Oryctolagus cuniculus: one gene and its partners. The protein of the gene in region 4 interacts with the protein of the main gene of each other region in a pairwise test. Links are inferred from orthologs where the notes say so. Each region holds a gene or a part of one and is shown on either strand. Other genes may lie near its edges.

The links. The genes of interacting proteins can lie anywhere in the genome.
Region 1: the proteins of PDE6D (region 4) and RAP1A interact in a two-hybrid assay, tested with the Homo sapiens proteins (2 studies listed by BioGRID). The link is inferred for Oryctolagus cuniculus from reciprocal best matches to the Homo sapiens genes PDE6D and RAP1A.
Region 2: the proteins of PDE6D (region 4) and ARL16 interact in binary tests that used the Homo sapiens proteins (3 or more experiments, as listed by UniProt). The two-hybrid records come from large-scale screens. The link is inferred for Oryctolagus cuniculus from reciprocal best matches to the Homo sapiens genes PDE6D and ARL16.
Region 3: the proteins of PDE6D (region 4) and RND1 interact in a two-hybrid assay, tested with the Homo sapiens proteins (2 studies listed by BioGRID). The link is inferred for Oryctolagus cuniculus from reciprocal best matches to the Homo sapiens genes PDE6D and RND1.

What each region holds. Positions count from the first base shown.
Region 1 is NC_091438.1:58,749,218-58,753,452, reverse strand, and holds the start of RAP1A (ras-related protein Rap-1A), read left to right. Parts: upstream 1-1,428; 5' UTR 1,429-1,579; intron 1,580-4,235. UniProt on the Homo sapiens protein: Counteracts the mitogenic function of Ras, at least partly because it can interact with Ras GAPs and RAF in a competitive manner. Together with ITGB1BP1, regulates KRIT1 localization to microtubules and membranes.
Region 2 is NC_091448.1:1,091,371-1,095,575, forward strand, and holds the start of ARL16 (ADP-ribosylation factor-like protein 16), read left to right. Parts: upstream 1-1,398; 5' UTR 1,399-1,480; coding exon 1,481-1,541; intron 1,542-1,627; coding exon 1,628-1,686; intron 1,687-2,742; coding exon 2,743-2,856; intron 2,857-3,053; coding exon 3,054-3,169; intron 3,170-3,499; coding exon 3,500-3,671; 3' UTR 3,672-4,205. Other genes in the region: HGS (hepatocyte growth factor-regulated tyrosine kinase substrate), read right to left, coding at 1-47, 149-233, 1,134-1,170. UniProt on the Homo sapiens protein: May suppress the RNA sensing activity of RIGI in a GTP-dependent.
Region 3 is NC_091442.1:52,342,805-52,347,071, reverse strand, and holds the start of RND1 (rho-related GTP-binding protein Rho6), read left to right. Parts: upstream 1-1,460; 5' UTR 1,461-1,580; coding exon 1,581-1,700; intron 1,701-2,336; coding exon 2,337-2,424; intron 2,425-4,267. UniProt on the Homo sapiens protein: Lacks intrinsic GTPase activity. Has a low affinity for GDP, and constitutively binds GTP. Controls rearrangements of the actin cytoskeleton. Induces the Rac-dependent neuritic process formation in part by disruption of the cortical actin filaments.
Region 4 is NC_091434.1:7,549,661-7,553,741, forward strand, and holds the start of PDE6D (retinal rod rhodopsin-sensitive cGMP 3',5'-cyclic phosphodiesterase subunit delta), read left to right. Parts: upstream 1-1,274; 5' UTR 1,275-1,484; coding exon 1,485-1,534; exon of another isoform or gene 1,535-1,619; intron 1,620-4,081. UniProt on the Homo sapiens protein: Promotes the release of prenylated target proteins from cellular membranes. Modulates the activity of prenylated or palmitoylated Ras family members by regulating their subcellular location.

The DNA.
Region 1 (4,235 bases), on a different chromosome or scaffold from region 4:
GACTCCCCTATCCAAGTGTTTACCCAAAATCTCCACTTGAACCTTAAGCAGAACACCTGCAAAGCAGGTATCTAGATTTCTCCCACCCCTAACTTTCTCCCCTTTGTGCCTTCCCCATCTCATTAAACGGCTCCAGGATTACCAGCCACCAGGCCCTAAACCTAAGAACCATCCACGATCGTTTTGCTTCCTCACACACTGTCCCCCAAGTCCAAGTCAATGCCCGTGAAAGTGTGTGCCTAAGTAAGATTTGGGTGGGCGTTTCTCATGACACTTTGGGACACCTGCATCCCATATTGGGAGGAGAGCCTGGGTTCAAGTCTCAGCGCCAGTCCCAACTCCAGCTTCCTCTAATGCACATCCTGCAGAAGCAGGCGATGGCTCAAGTGCTCGAGTCCCTGTCACTCATGTGGGTGACCTAAATTGAGCTCCAGACTCCTAACTTGGAGGCCTGGCTCAGGAGAATCTGTTGCAGGCATTTGGGGAGTAAATCAGTGGGTGGAAGATCTCTCTCTGTCTCTTTCATTCTGCCTTTCAAATAAAATAAGCAACTAGCACATTTTTAAAAACACAAAATTATTTTAAAAAATAAATAGCGCTGTTCTCACCACACCCACTAAGGCCATCCTAGGGCAAGCTACCACCAACCACCTCACTTCCTCGGTAGCCTCCTGCAGACTTTCGTGTTCTCTGTTGTGTGCTTTACACACATCAGCAAGATTAACTTTTAAAAATCCGAACCGTAGCTCACCCTCCTCCATGGCTTCCCGTTGCCCCGCAGGGTCTGGCCCCTTGCCCACTGCACTGAGCCTCGCTGCTGGCTTCTAACTGCTCCTGCCCACAGGGCAGGCACATCCTACCTCTGCAAGTGTGGCTGATTGCCTTATTTAAGCCCCAGGTGCTCCACCCCCGGCCATCCCCCAACTCAGGTTTGCAGGGTTCATTCCATCAAGTCTGTATGTGCTCAGAGGTCTCCCAAGAGAGGCAGTATCTGACCCAACATCCACCCTACCCGCTGCTCCACTTGCCCCACACCACTTAAGACTGCCTGCAGTTGCGGTCACTGCTGTGTCTTCTGTCTCCCTCTCCCAATCCACTAGACGGCAAGCTCCAAGCCAGCCTTTGCTTTATCCGCTCCGCCTAGGGCACTGCCCGGCATCTAACTGCTGCTCAGTTAGTACTTGTGGCATGGTTGCGTTCTCTCCAATTTCTGTTCCTCCTGAACCTTTACAGCCGTCCTCATTTCATATCCGGCTCCTCTGCAAATGTGAAACTCCGCGCGCTTTCCCAGCAGTCGTCCGCTCTCCCTACCCTTTCCTGAGCAGCGGCTCCTTTAAGCGGACTCCGGATTTCCCCCCTCCCACCAGGGAAGGCGGGACCAAAGCCTGGCCGACGCCGACCCGGAGAGGCGGGGCGGAACTAAGGGGGCGGGACATGCGTCCTGCGTGCGTGCGCGTTCTGGAGGCGCCGCCGCCGCCGCTCCCGAGGCCGCCGCCGCCGTCGCCGCGCAGAGCCGGAGCCACGGCCGAGAGGAGGGAGGAGGAGGAGGAGGAGGTGGAGGAGGCGCCGGACCGGGGGGGTGAGTGAGGGGCGGGGAGCCCCAGCGAGCCCTTGAGGGAGCAGGGGGCGCGGGTCGGCCGGGCCGGGGCAGGGGCGGCTCATGTCGCCGGTCAGTCCCTGGCTCCCCCTTCCTGCTCAGCGTTCGCTCCGTGTCCGGGGCGGCGGCCCGGGGGCCTGGCCGGCGGGAGGGGCCGGAGCTCGGGAGGCCCGGCCGCCGCCGCCAGGGCCAGAGCCAACCACGCCCGCGGACCGAGCCGGTCGACTGTGGCTGGGCCTGCGGGAGACGGACGGGAGGGGCCCGGGCCGGGTGTGGGAGAGAAAGAGGACATTGTGTCCCCCACCCTCCAACTCCCCGAGGTGTCATGGCACAAACCCATTTCCCTCGCGCGTCTCCCCGGACATGGTGTCCTCGCCCCTCGCTGCTGAGAGGTGCGGAAGATTGCACTTCGCTGCCTTCTTCCTTCTCTTGCATGTTCTCTGACTAGGGTTAGGGCTTCCTTGCAGACCCGGCTCCCCTCGGAGGCGCACGCGAGGAGGCACTTGGAGGCTCGGGCACATTTTCTGTCGTCCGTCCCCTGCCGGAGACTTACGGGCGTTCTGCCCCGCTCCTGTCCACTTGTCAGGGGTTCAGGGACTGCCTTTCCTTCCTCGATCTCCCCTCACCACCACCCCAAGTGGATGGGGCTGACGTTTCTACGTCCCAGGGCGCCTCCCAGCCCCTTTCCCGCCCTCTTTCACCCCTGTCTCCTGTAGCGTGCCATGTGTTCTTCTTGTCAGCCTTGGCTTCGCCTGGGTCTCGGCTTCTGGCCCCGATGTCGTTAGTGGGGAGGTCGCGGTGTGGTTGTCGCCTCCCTTCCGAGGAGGCTCTGCAGGAGTGTCGGGTTGGTAGCACTGTTACTTGCCCCCTCACTCAGGAAGTTAGGACGGTGTCTTCAGCTGAATTGTGAAACCCACTTCTGTACTGCTAGGAGAAGAGGACACAGTGTACCCCACCCCCGCCCCCCTAGAATAGGAGGATATCATCACCGGGCTAAAATCCAGGGTGCAGGAGACCTTTGACCTCTTGAAAAAAGAACTGTGCTTAGGAGTGATGTATTCCTTTTGGGGAGGGAAAATCGTTTTGGTACTGCTTTGAAAGGAGGAGGGTGTAAGAAATAAAGTGCACCAACAAGGCAGTAGGTTCATGGGCCACAGGTAGCCACTGTTTTCCGATTTGGGGGTGACAGATGGTGATTCTGTGTGGGTTTGGTTTTTTACAGTAAGAATGAAGTATCAGCGCTTGCACTTAACTTTTTTGAAGGACTCCTACCTTCAAAAACATGCCGAAGGGCAGTCTCAGAAAAGATGCTGTTGGAAACAGGATTTGGAAACTTTCTTTGGGTTTCCTGTCTGAATGTGTGGGGGTGGGCATGCCGGTGTGTAGTGTTGCTTTTCTTTTGATGTAGTTGATTTATGTGATACTTTGACACAATAAGCCCTGAATTAGGCCCCAGACTCCTCCTCTGTCTTTATTATGCTTTCCTGTAGTGCTTTTTTTCTGAAATTCTTTCTGATATTATTTTTTAATGTGGTGTTTCAGTGAATCTTCTGTTGATTCCTTGGTATTTTGAATTGCCTTCTTTAAATATGCTTAGGTGTTGAGAGTCACACATGTTCGCTATTCATTGAATGAACTGAATGATTACAAAGATGTGTCTAGCTATTATTTATCTTCTGTCATTTTTGAGGTACCTTATGTTAGGATTTTATATTTGACATGGAATAAATGAAATAATTTTTAACCTTTTCTAGGCTGCTGACACCTTCCAGAATATAATGAAATATGTGGACACTGTCCCGAGAAAAAAAGTAACAGACATTACGCATAAAACTGCGTTCAAGGCCGGCGCCGTGGCTCAATAGGCTAATCCTCCACCTTGCGGCGCCGGCACACCGGGTTCTAGTCCCGGTTGGGGCGCCGGATTCTGTCCCGGTTGCCCCTCTTCCAGGCCAGCTCTCTGCTATGGCCAGGGAGTGCAGTGGAGGATGGCCCAGGTGCTTGGGCCCTGCACCCCATGGGAGACCAGGAAAAGCACCTGGCTCCTGGCTCCTGCCAGGATCAGCGCGGTGCGCCGGCTGCAGCGGCGGCCATTGGAGGGTGAACCAACGGCAAAAGGAAGACCTTTCTCTCTCTGTCTCTCTCTCTCACTGTCCACTCTGCCTGTCAAAAAAAAAAAAAAAAAAAAAAAAAAAAAAAAAAAAAAAAAAAAAAAAAAAAAAACTGCGTTCAGTCTCAGGGGCCCTCTGAAACCAACCATTGACACCTATCTTGGAATCCTTGAGTAGTATTCAATTTCGTATCAAAAATGTTCAGAAGCCTTGTTGCCTCTTTGTGTGGCCTCAGGAATGATGGTGTGTACACTTGCATTCCAGACGTTGGGTCTCTGGCAACAAGATATAAGACTGATTACTGTTAAAATTTTATGGGGAAAAGTTAGTCCACATTTGTAACTATTACTGGTTAGTTTTAAATTAATATGCTGACTGCTTCTAAAGTATAGAATTATTCTAGACACTTTTTAAAAAAGATTTATTTTATTTTATTGGAAAGACAGAGTTACAGAGAGAGGTAGAGAGAGAGAAAAAGGTCTTCCATCTGCTGGTTCACTCCCCAGATGGCCGCAAAGGCTGGAGCT
Region 2 (4,205 bases), on a different chromosome or scaffold from region 4:
TCTTGTCATTGACTTTCTTCTTGATGGAATTCACCGCATACTTCGCTCTGCAGGAGAGAAGATGTGGTGAGGGCAGACGGACAGACGGCCTAGGGAGAGGGCCGAGGGCCCAGGGGGATCCAGGCCGGGGGCCCAGCCCCTCACTCACTGTGTGTCGCCCTGGCGGATCAGGTCGCAGATCTGCAGGATGGACTCCCAGTCGGTCTCCAGCAGCAGCTGGCTGGTCGCCTTGTCTGAGGGACACAGGCCATGTAAGCGCTGGCCCCCGGGGCCCTGGGCAGCCTCCCCAGCCAGGCCTTTGGACGCAGTGGGAGACCAGGGCCAGCCCCGACACGCACCGACAGCCGCAGAGGCGCTGGGGCCCCCGGTGCCGTGCAGCGCCCGTGGACTAACCACGCCCTCACGAGCCAGGGGTCCAAGGGGAGGCCGCTGGCCCGGCCCCACGGCGTGTCCCGGAGCGAGCCAGGGCTCACCCTGAAACACGGCTCCCTCGCGTCCCGGCCGCGGGCTCCGTGGACGGCCACCCTGCCTGAGCGCTCTGGGGACGAAGGCAGATCCGACTCCCGCGGGGCCACCGTGTCCCAGCCCCCGGGGCGGCAGTGGCCTACCAGGTGCGCCCTCCGCACCGACTCAGGACCACGGGGACAGAGCCCTGGGCGGCCGAGGCACTACCCGGAGCGTCCGGGGCGACGGCTGGCCTTGCGGCAGACCACGCGACCCCGGCGCAGGGACGGCCGGGGAACGTCCACTGAACTCCTGGCCAGCGCCTTCCCGCGCCGGGGCCCGGCCGCGGGAGCAGCGCCCAGGGCGGCTCCGCAGGCCCCGGCGAGGACGTGCGGGCCCGACCTTCGCCGTGACAGCAGCGCCCCGGCGGCTCCGACAGCGCCGGCCACGGCGTCCGGGACTCAGGACCTGGCGCCCTCGGCCAGCGCGGCTGCTCCCGGGGAACTGCCGCCCGCCCGCCCCGGCGACCCGCCCGCGGGCCCCGCGACGCCGGGGTCCTGCGCGGCCCTCACGGACGCCGGCCCTGGAGGCGGCCACACCCGGGGACCCAGGGGCGGCCGGGGCCGCAGGACGCGCTGACAGCGCCCCCGGCAGCGCCGGGCGGCCCGGGGGCGGGCGCGGTGCGTTACCTAGGAGACGCTCGAAGGTGCCGCCGCCTCGCCCCATGGCGACCCCGACCCGGACCGACGCCGCGGACGCTCCTCCGCTCCGAGCTGGCGCGCCCCCCGACTTCCGCTTCCGCCTTCCCCTCCAGCGCGCGCACGCGCAGCTCGCCGCTCCGGCCGAGACTCGCGAGGAGGCGGGACTTAACGCCCGTCCCTTGACGCCGTGCGTCTATTGGACCGCGGCCGCCGCGGTGGTGAGTCCAAAGAACCAATGAGCACTCTGGAAGAGAGGCTTAGCCAATGAGAGGGGCAGGGGGTGGGCCCTGCGTGTGGGCGCCGAGCGGCGGGTGCCTAGGGGCCCGGGGTCCGGGATGTGTCTGCTGCTGGGGGCGTCGGGCGTCGGGAAGACGCTGTTGGTGAAACGGCTGCAGAATATCCTTCCCGGGCGGCGCGAGGGGCCCTGGGGGGCCGGGGTGGGGACGCCGTCCGTGGGGCTCTGGTCCTTGACCGCTCCGCACAGTTGAGCTCCCAGGACGCGAAGGGCGACGTGGGGGCGCCTCCGCCGACCCAGCCCACGGTAGGTGTCGGACTCCCGCAGGCGCGACCGGAGGGGGTGACCTGTGCGGAGGCGGGTGCGGCCGCCAGCGTGTCCCTGAACTCGCCCGACGCACGGCCGCCTGCCGCCCTCCCGAGACCCCTCTCCCTGGGCCCCGGCCCGCAGGTGGGCACGCACTGCCCTCCCGAGACCCCCTCCCTGGTCGCCCCCGGGGGAGCGTCTGGGCCCCGGCCCGCAGGTGGGCACGCACCGCCCTCCCGAGACCCCTCCCTGGTCGCCCCGGGGGAGCGTCTGGGCCCCGGCCCGCAGGTGGGCACGCACTGCCTCCCGAGACCCCTCCCTGGTCGCCCCCGGGGGAGCGTCTGGGCCCCGGCCCGCAGATGGGCACGCACTGCCTCCCGAGACCCCTCCCTGGTCGCCCCGGGGGAGCGTCTGGGCCCCGGCCCGCAGGTGGGCACGCACTGCCCTCCCGAGACCCCCTCCCTGGTCGCCCCCGGGGGAGCGTCTGGGCCCCGGCCCGCAGGTGGGCACGCACCGCCCTCCGAGACCCCTCCCTGGTCGCCCCTGGGGGAGCGTCTGGGCCCCGGCCCGCAGATGGGCACGCACCGCCCTCCGAGACCCCTCCCTGGTCGCCCCCGGGGGAGCGTCTGGGCCCCGGCCCGCAGATGGGCACGCACTGCCTCCCGAGACCCCTCCCTGGTCGCCCCTGGGGGAGCGTCTGGGCCCCCGCCCGCAGGTGGGCACGCACCGCTCTCTCCTGAGGCCCCCTCCCTGGTCGCCCTGGGGGAGCGTCTGGGCCCCGGCCCGCAGATGGGCACGCACTGCCTCCCGAGACCCCTCCCTGGTCGCCCCTGGGGGAGCGTCTGGGCCCCCGCCCGCAGATGGGCACGCACTGCCTCCCGAGACCCCTCCCTGGTCGCCCCCGGGGGAGCGTCTGGGCCCCGGCCCGCAGATGGGCACGCACTGCCTCCCGAGACCCCTCCCTGGTCGCCCCGGGGGAGCGTCTGGGCCCCGGCCCTCAGGTGGGCACGCACTGCCCTCCGGGAGTTCACAACCTCTGCGTCATGGTTCCCGCAGGTGGGCACCAACCTGACGGACATCGTGGTCCAGCGGAGAATCACCATCCGGGAGCTGGGCGGGTGCATGGGCCCCATCTGGTCCAGTTACTACGGAAACTGCCGTTGTCTGCTGGTGGGTCCCGCGCCCTCCCACTCCCCCGCTGGCGTAGCGGTCCAGGGGACGGGCACCGGCCAGCTCCTCCGCGGAGAACCGACTCCCCCTGCCTGTTCCCTTCGTGGTCGGCGGCTGTGGCTGATGGCGTCTCGCCCTGCCGCCCTGGGCCGGGCCTGCGGTGCTGGGCGAGGTCCCAGGGCTCTGTTCCTCCTCAGTTCATGGTGGACGCCTCCAACCCCACCCAGCTCTCCGCGGCCTGCGTGCAGCTCCTGGGCCTCCTTTCTGCAGAGCAGCTCGCGGAAGCGTCCGTCCTGATCCTGTTCAATAAGATGTGCGGGCCTGGGAGCGGGCAGCGGGGCTGCCCCGGGCGGGGGGGCGGGGCGGGGAGCGGGGGCAGCACGGGGTGCGCGGGGCAGGCGTGCCCGGGAGCGGGGCAGCACGGGTGCGCGGGGCAGGCGTGCCCGGGAGCAGGGGCAGGCGTGCCCGGGAGCGGGGCAGCACGGGGTGCGCGGGGCAGGTGTACCCGGGAGCGGGGCAGCGCGGGGTGCGCGGGGCTGGCGGGCCCGGGAGCGGGGCAGCACGGGTGCGCGGGGCAGGCGTGCCCCGGGCGGGGAGCGGGCCCCGGGGCTGCCCGGCCTGACGGGGCGGTGTGTTCCCGCAGCGACCTGCCCTGCTACATGAGCATGGAGGAGATCAGGTCGCTGATGAGGCTTCCAGACATCCTCGCTCACGCCAGGCAGAACGTCTCCACCGCGGAAATCAGCGCCCGGAAAGGCACTGGCCTGGCGCAGGTGCTGCACTGGCTCCAGGACACCCACGGAGCCAGCAGCTGACGTAGCCCAGGGACGGGTAAACTGAGGCAGCAGGAGACTGCTGACATCTGGCCTGTGTTCCTGAGACCGTGCCTGGGGCTGGGGGAGGAGCCCGGCCTGTCCCAGTGCTTGCTGCCCTGGCCGGCCCGGCATTCTGTCGGCCTGAGGCGCCTGCGGGTGAGTGGTCCCCTGGGTGGGCAGAGAGCAGAGGTGGCCTGTGCACCCAGCGGCTGATGGGGACCCAGAGCCTTGGAAACAGGCTGTCCCCACTCGGGGCCGAGTGCGAAGTCCAGGCGTCGGCAAGGTCGGCTGCTCCCGGGGCGAAGCCGTCCGGGGCAGGCGGCCCCCACTGCCGTCCTGGCTTCCAGCAGTTCTGTGTCCACTCCTTCCCGAGGTCTGTCAGGAGGACGTCCCTCAGCAAAGCCAGGGACAGCCACACCTGCGGGCGCCCGGCAGTGGGCGAGGAGCTCCCGGGCCAGGCCAGTTTCCTGAAGCTGCGCCCTTGGCCTGGTGGCTGGGGTGCCCCTCCCACTCCAGAGCACTCGGCTGCAGCAC
Region 3 (4,267 bases), on a different chromosome or scaffold from region 4:
ACATGGGCAACCTGAACGGAATTCCAGGCCCCTTGGCTTTTGCGTGGTGCAGACCTGGCTGTTGTGGGCATTTGGGGAGGAAACCAGTGAATAGGATTTGCCTGCCTGTCCTTCTCTTCCTCTTAAATAAATACTATTTGACTGCCTATGTTAACTTTTTCTACCCTCTGGTGATTCTAACCCTTGGAGGTGGGTGGAGCTGGAGGTGGGTGGAGGGCATGCAGGTCCCTCTGGCCCCAGAGCCTTCCACCAAGCAACCTTGTTAGACATCAGCTTATAAGTGCCAGAGGGTGGGAATTCAATGAGGGAAGAAATGTAGAAGCAGTCTGATATTTGCATATCAAAAATCTTGCCTTTGTTCCATACTCTTGTTAGGTGGGTCCCAGCCTTCCCCTGGGGGCAGCTTAGGGGAATCTCCCCAGCTCAGTGTGTGTGTGTGTGGGTGTGTGTGGGGTGCTATTAGGTCCAATAACTTCCACCCTCCTACCGTCTGCGGTGGGCCTTGGAAGGAAGACATTTAAACATCCTTTATCACGGGCAGTTGTCCCTGGGTGGGGGCAGCAATGATGGAGTTCAGATGCAGCAAGGGTTTGGAAGTTGAAGCAACCTGAACAGAGCCTTGGATTGCTCTGTTTTGCCCAATTCCCAGGAGGCCTTGTTGGGCCTGTCTAGGTTGCTGGATAATCAGTGGTTCATGTAGTTGTGTGCATCCATCCATGGTTCTGCTTAGTGTACTGGCTCCCAAAGACACCTGGGCTCTGAAAGGGTGGGCTGGTAGGCAGCTCCAGTCCCAGGCCTGGTCTTTCCAGCCTGGACTTTAACCAGGTGACACACAGCAGTCTGTGTCCATGGATGTCAGCCTGGCCCTGCACCTGTGTGATTCATCCAGGAAGCTGTCCCAGGCAGAACAAATGCTGCTGCCAGGCCTTGGGTGGGAGGGTAGCTGGCCAAATAGTCAGTGGCTTTGTTTGCTTTCTTCTCTCCCTCTGTCCCATCCCCACAGGTGGGAAGTGGCTTGGATGGGAATTAGAACATAGGTACAGGAGTCCTAGCAGGGATCTCTGCCCCCTCCGCCCCACCCCTGCCCACCACGCCCCCCTGCCTGCCCATAGTTTCCTGCTCTTCTCCTGGGACAGTCCCTACAACTCTGACTTCACCCCACTTTCTGCTTCCACGGTAGTTTATGGTTTTTGACACTCACTGATGGACACTCAAGATCTCTTCCTCGCGCTGCAAGTCTCCTGCCCCCTTCCTAATACAAATGCAAAACAGCGTGGGAGTCCCCTGTCCAGGGGGAAGCCACAGTGCAGCTTTAAGAGAAAGGGGAGAGAGGACGAGGGCGCTGACTCAGATCCTCCTACCATTGGCTGCCGGAGGGGATCCCACCTCGGTGATTGGCCGAGACAGAGCCCGCCTACTCTTGCGATTGGCTCCGCCAGGCCTATATAAAGGGCCGCGCGCCGTCCCCTCGCTCAGTCGGAGGGAGGCCGAGGATCCCGGTGGAGTTCGCATTCTGAGACGCCCCTAGCGGCACCTTCACCTCCCCGCGTCTGAGCGCCCGTTCCGCGGCGGCTGCGACCATGAAGGAGAGACGCACTCCCCAGCCAGTCGTGGTCAGGTGCAAGCTCGTCCTAGTGGGAGACGTGCAGTGCGGGAAGACGGCGATGCTGCAGGTGCTGGCTAAGGACTGCTACCCGGAGGTGAGCGCAGACCCCACCTGGCCATCCCCCGCCGCCCTCGAGCTGGAGGGCCGCCCGCCTTAGCTTCCCCCTGAGACCTGTCCCACTTCTGCTGCCCCGCTGGCTCCTCCTCACCCACAAGGCCCCGATCAAACCCCGCCCGCCTCCCTCCGCCCCGGAGTCTGCTCTCAGGAGAGCGAATTGGACGCATTTGAGTCTGGGGTTTCTGGACTGAATCGCTGCTGTCCCCCCCCCCCCCCCGAAGGTTCAGGTTTTGCTGCTCCTCTATGCTGCTGCCCTGGGCCAGGGGCTTGCAGGGGGAGAGCAGACCACGGCAGGATTGGCTGCAACTGGCAGGCAAATATGAGTGTGTGCGCCCCTGACCATTTAGGTTCGGGGCTTGTCTCTGGCTGGGGGTCCGTCACATGTCTCCTGCCATACAGCAAAGTGCCTCTGTCTCTCCAGCCTCTTCTTCCCACGTGTCCCACGTGGGCCTCCCTGCACCATGCATCCCCTCCTCTGGCTCCTGATCTCCTGTCACCTTGATGTCTTCGGTGGGTGGGTGGCTTCTGGTGTGGCCAGCACTGATCAGAGGATTATGGGGGGGGGGGGCAGGGGCCCAGTGCCCAGGTGTCACTGGTCCCTCTCTTTTCTCAGACCTACGTGCCCACCGTGTTTGAGAATTACACAGCCTGTTTGGAGACAGAGGAGCAGAGAGTAGAGCTCAGCCTCTGGGACACTTCGGGTAAGACGTGGCCCCAGATGCCCCTTTGGTACCTGTGCTGGTCGCCGCCACCTTTTAAGGGGTGGGCGGTGGTAGAAGGGAGTGTGGCGCTTGCAAGGGCAGGCAGAGAAGGAGATCTGTGGGGTGGGGGCAGTTGGATGGCCCTGGGGTTGCAGAATGGGTGAACCCCAGAAGCCACTCACTTTGGGGCCAGTTATGGGACTGGGATGTTGATGAGGAAGAAGGAGCCAGTGATACTCCTGGTGGGGGGCGGTCAGAGAGGGCTTCTACCTTTCACTGCCTGCCGCCCAACACGCAGGCACATAGCCTCAGCCAAGCCAGGACAGAGGCAGGGAGACAGGAGCCTGCCTTGAGGGAAATATTGCTCTGGCTCCACACTCCCCTGCCTGCCGCAGCTCCAAGCTCGCCACACCGCTGCGGCTCAGGAATGAAACGATGCATCATCGGGTGTTTGGGGCGGGTGGGGGAGATGGCTTAATACAGGACAGAGTCCCGCTGTGCGAGGTGGCTCATGGGGCGGAGGGGGCTTGGTTGGCACTGACTGTTTCCCCTGGCCGGGGTGAGGCAGGAGACGCTGTCGTTCTAGAACATAGAAAGCAATGTTTCTCAGCCTCCTGGCCCTGAGCCCTTCATGCCCGGCTATCCTTTGCTTTGATCCTTAGCCTCTCCCGCTATCTTTGTATCCCGGTTTCCTTCTAATAGACTGGCTGAGAGTCACAATGAAGGAGTAAATATCAGGAACAGGAAAAAAGAAAATAAAAAGCCCCCCTGCTCCCCCCAAATACAGTTTCAGGCTGAGTTTAAAGGGGAACACCAAATCACTAGAGGTTTATGTTACATATATTTAGTACACTGTCCTGCTCTCCCAAATATCTCCAATGTTGAGATGACTGGGGGTAGGGAAGTGGGGGGGGCAGAAAATGAGACTCCCCTTGCTCCTCATGCTCCCCCACCCCCTCCCCGCCAAACAGAAATTTCTCAAGCCGGTGTGCTTTCCCCCAGGTGGAGGTTCCAGGGGTGGGGAGGCGGGGTCTGCTCCTGGACCGCGCTGCTGTGCCGGTTGGCTGGGACTGGAATGCAGGGCTGCATGATGTATGGTTTTTCTTCCGCTGTGCCCTCCCACCTCCCGGTCTTACTGCAGCTCATCTCCCGTTCACTACCACCGCCCCAAAACCTCTGCTGCTTCCTCACCCACCCCTCACCTGCCCCCCGCAGCAGCCCTTGAATCCCAATCCGATAATGGAGAATCAGGTGGTGAGTGAGCTCTCTTTCCCTGTGTTGTAACCCCACTCCCCAGTTTCCAAAGGCAGGCAGGCTCTCAGTCATCCTCAAACTCCCCCCTCTTTCAATAAGGTTCCCCATTAGAAAGGAGGAAGTGGCAGAGTTCTGCGGGATGGGGCTTCCCAGCCTTGGGGCTGGGCCCCCTCTTCCCATCAGTCCCTGGCTCATCTTAGGGGAGGGAGATTGCTTGGAGCCCAAGCGATGGCCCTGCCCTCCCTCCGCCCCCAGGACTGCAGCGCTCTCTTCGCCTTGCCGTGGGAAGACCACCCCCCACCTCCCGGCTCCAAGAGGGATACGGGCAGATTGCTGAAGGAGTGGGCAGCTATCCCAACTCCCCCTTACTGCTTTTATTGTAATGACCAACGCCCCCCCCCAAGCTTGGATTCCCCCCCAGTTTCCATGGCAATTGCGGAGTAGGGAGAGGGGCTGCTTGCTGTTCTGAGCAGGGATTGTCTGGATTCCAAATCTGCCACTATTCCTTCCCCAGGGTGTAGAAGGGGCAGGCTCCGTCCCTAGCATCCACCCAGGTCAGCCCACTGGTGCCTCCTTGCCCAAGAAGGAC
Region 4 (4,081 bases):
ATCACAGAAGCAGAAAGCACGTTTGTTGAATTACCCAGAAGGAAAAGCTGAGTGCAGAGGGTGACAAGCTGGTGAAAAGCTGGGTGCAGAGGGGGACGAGAGGAAGAAAGTCCTAGGAAAACACACAGAGCATCTCCCAGCAAGCCCGGGCTCACCCTGCGATTTTACCCACTTCCTGAAATCACATCAAATGTCACCTTGAGTGACAAAGAAAGAACAAATCAAAAGACCAAGTCCTACCAAAACAAATATCACACACTTCCTCATCTGCCAGAAATCCACCGAATAAATGCTTTACCCAACCTCTGGGTGTTCCAACCTTGGATGGGCAAACTACTCAACAAGGCGGGCAGTAATCGCACTGCCATACTGCTAAAAATATCACCTCCCAGGCTGCGGGCGACAGACTCGGGGCCGAATCCTAACTCTGCCCCAACTTGCAGTGACCTGAGGCCGGTCTCTCGCCTCTCTGGGCCTCAATTCCCTCGCACGTAAAAACAGCAGGGGCAGGATTAGCAAATTCTTTCAAGCACCTTCCCGTATTGACAGAGCACACAATCGATAGCTCTCCTGGTCCGAGGCAGGAACACACCAGAGGTCCCCGCAAAACACGCAAACGGCGCCCCCGTCCAACAAACAAGCACGGTTTGAAGAAGTCGTTTTGTTACATTCTTTCGTGGTTTAATCAGTGTTTTTGTTGTTTGCAACCTTACCATGATTTGCAGGCGATTTCTGAGTTCCATGTAAACAGAAGTTAATTCTCTGTGGGCTGTCATCGTCTTTCACCGGGCCACAGGGTCTTCCCGCCTGGTTTTCAGTCTCGGGATGCAGAAACCACCGACCTTGCCGGCAGGTTTACGAATTTGCGCACACTGCGCGGCACACTGGAGCCTAAGTTACAGAGCCTCGGGACGCGACGAATGCTGGGATTTGTAGTCCCTGGGCCTCTCTGCTGCGTGCTGGGATCTGTGGTCCCCTGGCGCTCTACTGGAATTCTGGGAAATGTAGTCCTCTGCCCCTTCGCACAATGCAACCTGCGGTCGTCTCAGGAGACTAGTGAGCCCAGCAGCAGGAGCAGGCCCCTAGAGCCTCTGCAGATGTCAAGCCAAGCCCCCACTGGGGCTAACTCTAGGCAACAACACCCAGTGAAAATTTTGTCCTATGGGACTTCTCGGGGAGGGCGCTTCCCATGGATGCTCTTCGTCCCCCTGCGAAGCCGCTGAGCGTTGCTATTGGCTGGTGAGAATGCCAATCGCCGAGGCGGGCTTTCCATTGGCTTAGGGGCGGGCGCTCCGAGACCAGAGGGAAGGAGAAGGATCAGGAGCGGGAGCTGAGGGGAGGGAGAGGCCGGTCCGGGTCTGGCCGCTGCCTCTGCTTGCCCGAGGTCTCCAGGCCGGGCTGCGGCTCTGTGCTCGCTTCCTGGGCACGGTCCGCGAGGCTCCGCAGGGCAGCGTGAGAGAGCCGCGGGCGGCGGCCGCCGCAACATGTCAGCCAAGGACGAGCGGGCCAGGGAGATCCTGAGAGGCTTCAAACTGTATCCGCCCGGGAGCGGGGAGGGGCCGGGAGGACTTGGGAGGCGGTCGCTCCCTGAGGAGACCGGCCGGGGACTGGGGCGCCAGGTGGGCCCCCGAGGAGAGGGGCAGCGAGGGGGGACAGGAAGGGGCCGAGGTCCCAGGCCCCGGCGCCACGGGGCGCGGGAGGCGGGCACGGGGGCGTCCTGAGGGCGGAGGGGGACGTTGGCGGGAGCCGCGGGCACGGGGGCGAAGGAGCCCCGGGGCCTGGGCTGCGAGGGGCGCCGGGCGCCGGCGAGGGGTGTCGGGAAGCGGGCTGGGCTCGGAGCTGCGGCCGGGAGGGGCCGCGGCCCGCCGGGGAGGGCTGAGGGGGCGCGGCGGGCTGGCCTCGAAGCCCGGCGGCGTCTTTGGCGGGAAGCCCGCCCGGGGGAGCAGAGAAGTGACTGGGAGTGAACGACCTTGCGTGGGACCAGCGCCGATGCCTGGCATTAAATACTCTCGCCCCCCCCCCTCCACGCCTCACCCCGCCTCACCCCGTCTGGTTGCCACAACTTCTTCTGCTCACTTGTGGCTTCCAGGGCTGGAGTAGCAGAGGGCGGTGGGGGGGCGGGCGCCGCTCGCCTCTCGGCCCCTCGGGTCTTCCCTGCAGCCCGGCGAGGACGCGGAGCTCGCGGGTGGTGGGATGCCTCCAGGTGCCTTGGCCGGGGTGCCTTAGGGGTGCCTGCCGCCGGGTCGTGGCGGAGCTGTCCAGCAAGGGTTGGCTTGCGCTGGGGACCCGGTCAGGTGTGAAGTCCCTGCCTCGGGCCTGGGTGGAGCCGGTAGTTAGAGAGCTTTGTGTTTTCGTGGAGGGTTAGTCTGGCCAATGTGATCTTGCATATTCCAATTTTACATTCTCCTACTGACCTTAATCTCTTCTTAGCACCCTATCCGTTCAGTGAGGAACATTCTTAAATATCGCTTTGGGTGAAAATACCGGCATCGCTTTGGGGCCCCTCCCCTGGGTGCTTAGCAAAGCACTGTTCTCTGACCCCCACCTGTCGGGTTGTCACAGTGCCCATTTCACCCCTACACATTTGAATTATTTTGTCATAGCCAGAAACCAAGTTGGTAGTAGAACACAGTGCGAGAAGAGGGTCAGGAGGTTTGGGATGTACAGATGAAAATCTCCAGTGGAATCCTGTTAGGCTTGTTTAAAAACCCAAGGCTGTGTTAGCCTTGCAGACTTCATCCGTGCTCAGCTTTCAGTACTTTCATGTGGTGGAGTTTAGGAACAACCTCTCAAAGCTCCATGTTCCCTTCTGGGTTTCTCTTCATAATGGAGCCTCGACAGGGATAGGCATAGCTCAAGTGTTCGGAGAGCTATGACATGGATTTTATTTTTTCTCTTGCATACTTTATACTTAACATATGTGTTGCAGACAGTAAACCAGAGAATTTGAGATTTTGGATTGCAATTAATGTATTTCTGAAAACCCGGAAGGTGGCTTTTGAGCAAGGCAGAAAAGGAATGCTTGAGCTTCTCACCATTCGTTCAGTCTTGGCTCTTGAACTTGTTGAGAAAGAAGCGGAGGACAAATATGAAAGAGTAGAGAGCAGGAGGTGTCAGCCCACTGGCAGGAATGGGGAATTAACCAGTTCAGCCGTGATGTTGCTGCGTCGACAAACAGGCTTTCAGGGAAAGTTTGAGTGGAGCTAAGTAAGCCCTGAGACAGGAGAGCAGCCGCATAAAGTTGGGAAGCAGTGAAGTGAGAGTGCTGGTCCTCCGTGTCCTTTACTGGCATCTGAGGATTAAGAGAGAAAAGGAAAGCAAGAACCATAGGATTTGCTGCCTTGGAATTCTAGCTTTACATTCCTGACCCCATATCCCTGCACAACTTCTGTAACCTCTACCTCAGTTTTCTCATGTAAAAATAAGAATAATAATACCTGGTTGTGAGATGAAATGAATTGATCTCCAAAGTATTCAGAAAAGCACCTGGTGTAAGCATCGTGTGCTAGCTATTGTTGCGAGAGAAATTCCAGATCATTTCTCTTGCATTTTAGTATTGATCCTTTGCCTATGAAGTATGTTGCAAGTATTTTTTTCTCAATGTATTGCTTGTCCCCTTCTTTTGTTGAACAGGATTTTTAAATTATCATTCCAGATTTATTAGTATTTCCTTCTTCTGCATGTGGCATATCGTTTAAAGAGAACTTCTTTATCCCAAGATTAATCAAATAGCCTGTTTTCTTCTCTTTTCAATATTTAGCTCCTCAGCCTAACTGCAGGGTGTTTACATGTGTGTGGTGGAGATCTAATCATTGCTTCCATAGTCGTCCCAGGACTATTCACTAAATAGCTGCTCTGTCCTTTCCTCACTGTTTTGAAATGCCATCTTTGTCTTATAGAAAGTTTCTATAAGAAATGGATTTTCTTTTTAGAATATTTCTATTTCATTGATCCATCTGTGCACATTTAGTTTAATTACTATAGTTTTATAGTATGACTTAGTATAGTCCGCAGAAGGATTGGCATTTCATGAACAGAGTACATGTGTTTAAAGTCATTGTAAAGGCCCCATAAATATTTG